2 linked regions of the Neurospora crassa OR74A genome follow. The protein of the gene in region 1 binds, or shares a complex with, the protein of each later gene. Links are inferred from orthologs where the notes say so. Each region holds a gene or a part of one and is shown in the gene's direction. Other genes may lie near its edges.

What was found.
Region 2: tca-7 (region 1) and NCU02438 share a complex: the UniProt entries of both Saccharomyces cerevisiae proteins name them as parts of the 2-oxoglutarate dehydrogenase complex. The link is inferred for Neurospora crassa OR74A from reciprocal best matches to the Saccharomyces cerevisiae genes KGD1 and KGD2.

What each region holds. Positions count from the first base shown.
Region 1 is NC_026502.1:1,594,199-1,598,447, forward strand, and holds the start of tca-7 (2-oxoglutarate dehydrogenase E1 component), read left to right. Parts: upstream 1-1,389; 5' UTR 1,390-1,407; coding exon 1,408-4,249. UniProt on the Saccharomyces cerevisiae protein: The 2-oxoglutarate dehydrogenase complex catalyzes the overall conversion of 2-oxoglutarate to succinyl-CoA and CO(2).
Region 2 is NC_026507.1:2,482,295-2,486,725, reverse strand, and holds NCU02438 (dihydrolipoamide succinyltransferase), read left to right. Parts: upstream 1-1,524; 5' UTR 1,525-1,920; coding exon 1,921-2,163; intron 2,164-2,318; coding exon 2,319-2,657; intron 2,658-2,716; coding exon 2,717-3,109; intron 3,110-3,165; coding exon 3,166-3,462; 3' UTR 3,463-3,822; downstream 3,823-4,431. Other genes in the region: NCU11258 (LYR family protein), read right to left, coding at 1-31, 96-118. UniProt on the Saccharomyces cerevisiae protein: The 2-oxoglutarate dehydrogenase complex catalyzes the overall conversion of 2-oxoglutarate to succinyl-CoA and CO(2).

The sequences.
Region 1 (4,249 bases):
TGAGCTCTGGGCGACGAACTGCTGCAGGTGCCGTGGGTGGGAAATGCCAAGGATCTGAAGCCAGCGCAGAGCTTGGACAACAGCAACTGCACTGCAGCGAACCAGTCACGGCCAGCCAATGAGAGTTGGGGGATTTAACACTGTGACGTGCAGTCAATGCTGCAACTGGCTCAATAATGAAGAAGAAGTTGAAGGTGGCAGCTGACGATGCAGGATTTTGTAGTGAATTACACAATCGAAACCAACAGCCAAACCTCAAAGTCATTTCGATAAACCACTCGAGACGAGATCGAGACGAGATCTAGACTCGGTTCGCTTGTCTCTTCTTTGACAAAATGGATTTGATAAATGACTTTTGCAAAAGTCACATGATACTACGGCAAGTCACAAGGCGGTCAGTGCCAAGTAGCTAATTGAACCCAAACCCATAACCCAGGATACCGACCAGACCATGTCTAGCGCAGTTCCATCAGTTCGATGCCCCAAGCGAAAGCTTCGAAAAGTTCGCGCTCAAAGATGGGACCGAAAGCGTTACCGTACATTTCCACCTCGGACATGGAAGTTTTCCCCACTTTCCACGGTAAGATTGGATACTTGGTCCAAAAAGACGGGAACCGTGATTTCCGGGGAAAAGGGACTCGGGTCAGGTCTCGGAGCCTCCAACTCCAGTCTCGACGGGAGGTGCGGGAGCCAATGCGTAATGAAATAATTACAGTAGCACTCTCCAGACCGTAACTTCCAGCTCTTCCACACTTTCCCAGTTTGCTGCGTGCCCGATGACTTGTCATGGAGACACAGCTCCCGTCCCCCTCCTTGAAACCACAGAAACTCCACGACTTCCGGTTATGCTTGCTGTTACCGTGGTCACCGCTCGAACCGTGAACTCCGTCGTGACTTTTGGACAAACAACAAGAGGGAGGACGGATTCGAGTAGATGATGGATATGATATCTCTTCGTGTATTCCATTGTGTACGCTACTACGTATGGGTATGTAGCAGACTGAGCAGTAAATAACTGAAGGTAGGCGAGTTTGCGGCTATGGAGGTACCGAGAGAATCTCACATTGATGTCCCCTTCAAGTTTGTTGGGTCCCGGGCGTCTTCGATGTATTTGTTCCCAGTGCGAGAAGCTGGGTAGCTCCACCCAGTTTCGCCGGCTCCACAATGTTAAAGCTATGGCCAAGAGAAGCATCCAGGGCGCACTGCACTGAGTGCGCTTGTAGCGGCGCAACGGCGGGAGCCGAGGGGGAGGGAGCCTCACTTGTGCTTCAGCAAGTGCCGTCATCGTCCCCTCCACAGAGCCGTGCAGATGCCTTGATGCTCACTGTACGAGCTACTTCAGTCCACTCAATTCAGTTCGTTAGTTCTGTCAATTCCACAGGGCGGGCAGAACGGGAGTCAGCAGGCATGCACAGCAGCACAGCTGGACGGCAGCACTCGCTCGCTCTTGCAGTTTGCACCGACAGGTCGACCGACCGCCCGACTCCAGTGAGTGGACGGAGCAACTCGACGCACCTGCACGGCGGGCAGAGTGAGGCCCTTTTTTTCCGTCGCTGCATTCCCGCCGCCCCTTCCCCCGACACCAACGAAACATCAAAAACACCAACGTCTGTCGTCCCCCTCCCCTCCAAATCTCGATCCTCTCGTCTTCTCTCCCCCTCTCTCCCCATTCCCCCCCTCAAGAGTCGACGACGACGACCGAGACCTAGACTTACTCCGCCGCTCCTTTTGCCTTTTGCGCATCCCCCCCCCCCAAATCTCCCCTCTTCCAGATTGTACACACAAAACAAAACCCCGCTGCTTGGATTGCGCTTTCGGTTTCTGCGTCCTAATACCCTCACCTCACAACAGCCACCCATCATGTTGCGCGGTTCCATCCGGGCCCTGCAGACCGCAGGCGCCTCAAAACGATGCTATTCCCAGGTCGCCCAGACCACCAGGGCCTCCCTCAAGCCCGCCGTTGGCCGCCGTCCCCTGGCCGTCTCCCAGCAGAGGCGCCATGAGAGCGCCCTCCACAGCCCGCCCGACCCCAACGACAACTTCCTCTCGGGCAGCGCCGCCAACTATATCGACGAGATGTACCTCCAGTGGAAGCAGGACCCCAAGAGCGTCCACGTCTCGTGGCAGGTCTACTTCAAGAACATGGAGAGCGGCAACATGCCCATCTCCCAGGCCTTCCAGCCTCCTCCCAGCCTGGTTCCCGGTGCCGCCAACGTGGTGCCCGGTCTCGCTGCCGGCGCCGGCGTCGGCATTGGCGAGGGTGCCAACGTCACCAACCACTTGAAGGTCCAGCTCCTCGTCCGCGCCTACCAGGCCCGTGGTCACCACAAGGCCAACATTGACCCTCTGGGCATCCGCAACACTCCTGCCTCCAAGGGCTTCGGCAACATCAGGCCCAAGGAGCTCACCCCCGAATACTACGGCTTCACCGAGAAGGATCTCGACACCGAGTACAGCCTCGGCCCCGGCATCCTCCCCCGTTTCGCCCGCGATGGCCGCGAGAAGATGACGCTCCGCGAGATCATCGACGCCTGCGAGAAGATCTACTGCGGCTCCTATGGTGTCGAGTTCATCCACATCCCCGACAGGGAGAAGTGCGACTGGCTCCGTGAGCGTCTCGAGATCCCCCAGCCTTTCAAGTACTCGATCGATGAGAAGCGCCGCATTCTCGACCGCCTCATCTGGTCCTCCAGCTTCGAGTCCTTCCTCGCCACCAAGTACCCCAACGACAAGCGTTTCGGTCTCGAGGGTTGCGAGACCCTTGTTCCTGGTATGAAGGCCCTCATCGACCGCTCCGTTGACTACGGCGTCAAGGACATCGTCATTGGTATGCCCCATCGTGGCCGTCTCAACGTCCTCTCCAACGTCGTCCGCAAGCCCAACGAGGCCATCTTTTCCGAATTCGCCGGCATGGCCGGTGCCGATGAGGAGGGTTCCGGTGATGTCAAGTACCACTTGGGTATGAACTTCGAGCGCCCTACCCCCTCGGGCAAGCGCGTCCAGCTCTCCCTCGTTGCCAACCCCTCGCATCTCGAGGCTGAGGACCCCGTCGTCCTCGGCAAGGTCCGCGCCATCCAGCACTACAACAACGACGAGAGTGACCACAAGAGCGCCATGGGTGTCCTCCTCCACGGTGATGCCGCCATCGCTGGTCAGGGTATCGTCTACGAGTGCTTGGGCTTCCACAACCTCCCCGCCTTCTCTACCGGTGGTACCATCCACTTGGTTGTCAACAACCAGATCGGTTTCACCACTGACCCCCGTTTTGCCCGCTCCACTGCCTACTGCACGGATATCGCCAAGGCCATTGACGCCCCTGTCTTCCACGTCAATGCTGACGATGTCGAGGCTGTCAACTTCGTCTGCCAGCTCGCTTCTGACTGGCGTGCCGAGTTCAAGCAGGATGTTATCATCGACCTTGTCTGCTACCGCAAGCACGGCCACAACGAGACCGACCAGCCTGCCTTTACTCAGCCCCTCATGTACAAGCGCATCAGCGAAAAGAGCCCTCAGATCGACATCTACGTTGACCAGCTCCTCAAGGAGGGCACCTTCACCAAGGAGGACATCGAGGAGCACAAGCAGTGGGTCTGGGGCATGCTCGAGGAGAGCTTCTCCAAGTCCAAGGACTACCAGCCCACTTCCAAGGAGTGGACCACCAGCGCCTGGAACAACTTCAAGAGCCCCAAGGAGCTTGCTAGCGAGGTTCTCCCCCACATGCCTACCGCGGTTGACAAGCCGACCCTTGAGCACATTGGTACCGTCATTGGCAGCACTCCCGAGGGCTTCCATGCCCACCGTAACCTGAAGCGTATCCTGACCAACCGCACCAAGTCCGTTGTGGAGGGCAAGGGCATCGACTGGGCTACCGCTGAGGCTCTTGCCTTTGGTACCCTCGTCAAGGAGGGCCACCACGTCCGTATCACCGGTCAGGATGTCGAGCGTGGTACCTTCTCTCAGCGCCACGCCGTCTTCCACGACCAGGAGACTGAAGACACCTACATTCCTCTCCAGCATATCAGCGAGGACCAGGCCCCCTTCGTCATCTCCAACTCTTCCCTCTCCGAGTATGGTATCCTCGGTTTCGAGTACGGTTACTCTCTCCAGGACCCCAACGGCTTCAACATGTGGGAGGCCCAGTTCGGTGATTTCGCCAACACTGCTCAGGTCATCATTGATCAGTTCCTTGCCTCTGGTGAGAGCAAGTGGATGCAGCGTACCGGCCTCGTCATGTCTCTCCCCCACGGTT
Region 2 (4,431 bases), on another chromosome or scaffold:
CGAGAGCTTCAGTGAGCGTCGGTAAAGGGACCTGTCAACAGAAGGTATAAGATCCTTGTTCTTGTCGCCATAATGGAGGACATGGATATACTGACAAGACAGCCGGTCGCGTCGACATGGTGGATTAAACTGACTCGTTCACCGTGGGTCCCGCTCGTGGAGCTCGACGAAACGTACGTTGTAGGCGTATATTCTTTTTTGTCCAACAGCTTAGCACGTACCTCTTTGGCTACGGTAGAGACAAGTGATAATCGGCTGTCGTGCGATTTCGGGCTGAGGCGGTGAATGGTAGGATAAGATTGGAATGATGGGGGAATCCGCAATTGCGCAATTGGGAAGAGGTACGTTGACACCGGGGGCTCTACACAGGCGATTTGGATGGGCTTGCAGGACGCGCTTCCGTACTGGAGGGTGGCTGCCTAAGGCACAAATCATCACTTCAGCACCTGGCGATATACATTACTGGGTTCACATTTCGTCTACTTGTGTACGCAGTTCACTCCACTAGGTACATACCAAGAAGGGAAGTGATCTTTGCTTTGCCGAGTCTTACAAGCCTTGCGTCTTGCTTGGCTACCCAAAACTAGTCAAATCTGTGCTTTGGACACTGCCATTGGAGGCACATGCAGCTACTACCTATCTTTATAGATTACGATGACGTCCCTATTCATTTGCTATTACATTCATATAGTAGGCAAGAGTAACTTAAACCTGATCGATTGAGATTGCTTAGGCAAATCGCTAATTGCCTACGAGGGACGTGATGAATACCAATGCGGTCTAAAAGCCTCGAGACCTGGGTGATCCGACACCCATATTTAAGATCCGTTACTCCGACGGTGTAAACGGTGACCCGGACGGATGAGCGAACCAGAGGTCCAAGCGTCTACGACATGCTAGCCTCGAGCTAGCGCACATGCTGGGGAGGGGGTCCAGGGTACTCTGAGTACGGACAATAGGATAGAAAATGGATGAGCACTTGAACGCTAAGAAAATGGTGCCCAGTATGGGATGATAGGAATTGTACGTCTATACGTAGATTGTTAGGTTTGCTGTCTTTCGGGTACCTTTCACACTCAAGCGTGATGCTTGACAATAAACCGGTTGCCTGAGGGGAACATCGATCCGTCCATAGGGTAAAACCTAGGGAGGCTTGTTTGGAATGATAATTTAAGTGCTATGGAGGTGTTCGGTGCAGGCTGATCCCTGGACCGTGCAGGCTACCGGGTCGCACCCCGGAATGATTCTTGCGATAGCTCCTTTGGTTTCCAGAAGATGTTCCCCGTCCCAGCAAACTGCGAGGCTGACCCCGTGACGCCGTGAAGGACGGCCAGATAGGCTTACCTACTCTAGGTAGGCTGGTAGGGGACTCTACTTAGTGTAGTTTCTTCTTACTCAGTTTACAGGTGTGACATGGACACTACACTACCTAGAGGTAACAGGTACGGTGAGGCTGGTGTGCTGCGCTGCCGTGCGGTGCGGAGAAAGCGCAAAAAAAAAAAAAAAAAAAAAAAAAAAAAAAAAAAAAAAGGTCGCGTAGAGCTACTGTGTGCAAAACATATGCTGGTGCAAGAACTTGTTGGAAATGCGCGGGAGTCGCTTATTATGCGGGAGTGAATTTGACAGCTTATACGATATCTAAAATGCAATTGAGTTAATGTACCCTTCCTCTGGGTCGCAGACGATCTGACCGTTAGTTTTCCGGTTGTCCCGGCAGATTTCTGTGCTGGGTGCTGCGTCATTGTCGCCGAGTCAGAACGGGACCTGTAGCCTCACGACAAATCTCATCACAACCGCCAATTTCGCGTTCTTCATCCGACGCTGTTCCCCCCAACCTTGGTCCTACAAAACCTCTCAAAAGGCACATCTTTATCTTGCGTCCCTACCAACTCCTGCTCCTTTGCCCGACATCCCGCTACTATGCTGTACAAAGGTCTTCGTCTTGCGGCTCGCGCCGCTCCCAAACTCGCGCTCTGCAATGCGACGCCCGCACTCCGGCAGCTTCCCCTGCAGTTCCAGCATGTCCGCACCTACGCCGATCAGGTCATCAAAGTCCCCCAAATGGCCGAGTCCATCAGTGAGGGTACCTTGAAGCAGTGGAACAAGAAGGTTGGCGACTATGTCGAGCAGGACGAAGAGATCGCGACCATCGAGACCGACAAGGTGTGTACGACGCTTCCTTAGTCCCGTGCCGGTGTCGGAGCCTAGACCGCTTGGAGCACATGCTGTCTGCCCCCCTGTCCTGCCTCTTTCTACGGTCATAGCTCGCCAGCGGCACATATATTTGCTTTCTAACTGCTTCTGCCACTGGGTTCTAGATCGATGTTGCCGTCAACGCTCCCGAGGCCGGTACCATTAAGGAGTTCCTCGTCAATGAGGAGGACACTGTCACAGTCGGCCAGGACATCGTCCGGTTAGAGCTTGGTGGTGCGCCCAAAGAGGGCGGTGCCGAAAAGCCGGCCGCGTCCGAGAGCAAGGAGGCTGCTCCCAAGGACAGCGCTCCTGCTCCTGAGAAGGCTCCGGAGCCTAAGAAGGAGACCAAGCCCGCCGCTGCTCCTGCTCCTACGCCCGCCAAGAAGGAAACTCCTGCCCCCAAACAGGAGAGTACTCCTGCGAAGGAGGCCCCGGCTGCATTGGGCAATCGCGAGGAGCGCAGAGTAAGTAAACGGCTCCTGAGCAAACGGAGTGGTGAATCGGTCAAACTAACACCCTCCAGGTCAAGATGAACCGCATGCGCCTCCGCATCGCCGAGCGTCTCAAGCAGTCCCAGAACACGGCTGCCTCGCTTACCACATTCAACGAAGTTGACATGTCGGGCCTGATGGATTTCCGCAAGCAGTACAAGGACGAGATCCTTAAGAAGACCGGTGTCAAGCTCGGCTTCATGAGTGCCTTTTCCCGCGCATGTGTCTTGGCCATGCGCGATATCCCGGCCGTAAATGCCTCGATTGAGGGTCCCAATGGCGGTGACACCATTGTCTATCGGGACTATGTTGACATCAGTGTCGCTGTGGCCACCGAGAAGGGTCTTGTCACTCCCGTAGTCCGCAATGTTGAAGCCATGGACCTCGTTGGCATTGAGAAGTCCATCGCTGATATGGGCAAAAAGGTACGGCTTCCCGCGCCTATGGAGTGCTTATATTACCTTACTAACTGTTATCGCAGGCTCGTGATGGTAAGCTCACCATTGAGGACATGGCCGGTGGCACTTTCACCATTAGCAACGGAGGCGTTTTTGGCTCCTTAATGGGTACCCCGATCATCAATCTTCCTCAGAGCGCAGTTTTGGGTCTCCATGCTATCAAGGAGCGACCTGTTGCTGTTAATGGAAAGGTTGAAATTCGCCCCATGATGTACTTGGCTCTCACCTACGACCACAGGCTGCTTGATGGCAGGGAGGCTGTCCAGTTTCTGGTTAAGGTGAAGGAGTACATTGAGGACCCCAGGAAGATGCTTCTTTAGGTTGTTGTAGTGGCAAAAAATCAAAGATCGTGTGTATTGCACCGGGCTTCTAGTGCTCCCATATCATATGGGTTGAACAATGATAAGAACAACAGAGTATTGAGAGTTAAGTCATTGGGATGTGAGTGTAATGGGTCTGGCGCCTGGGGATATGATGCCTAGCCGCAGAGCCGAGGCACGCTCCCTAGTTGGCCGATGCCTTAGGCCACCTGTTCTCTTCTAGTACTTAGCTTCCGGGCTGTAGGCCTTTCCCAGCCTACAAACCTTTTCCGCTTTGTTAATAACATTAAGCTTTAGTATACCCTAGGTGCTGTATTATATTTAGTAGACCCGTAATATATCACGAGAATCCCTCCTCGCACCTACCCTATTCCTTAGAGGTACTTTGTTTCTACTAGATAACAGCTGTTATATAATACTGGCCGTTTTGTCTAGTAATCTTGAATTTTCCAATTCAGGTTATTGCTATAAGGTGTAACGGGGGCAGCACAGTTGATACGGGTACTGGTCGTATAGCTTGATTAATATTCTATAAAGGAGGAGACGTTTATATAAAATGCGGATCTACTAGCGTTAAGAGGTTTTTATTGAGGCTGCGCGCTTTATACTACTATAGTTGATAATAATTCTAGTTCTAAAAACTAAAGTCTATAACCCGGGCGCTAGCCCTATAATATTACCCCCTTCCTTCCCCTTTTCCTACCCCTCTCCTACCTACCCTTATAGTTGGTCCCTAACGTATTTGCAACTTCCATTTGAATTATAATTTCATTTTCTATACTACTAACCAACGTACTAATACCTCTTATTCTATATAGTAATTATAATACTAAATAGTAGACAGTAGTAGGTAATAATAAGTAGTAGATAATAGGAAAGCCTCCCCGCACCTTGTTGAATCCTACACGTACCCTCCCCTACAAAGAAAAGTGGGACTACAGCTGGATGACACCTAATATTCAAATTCCC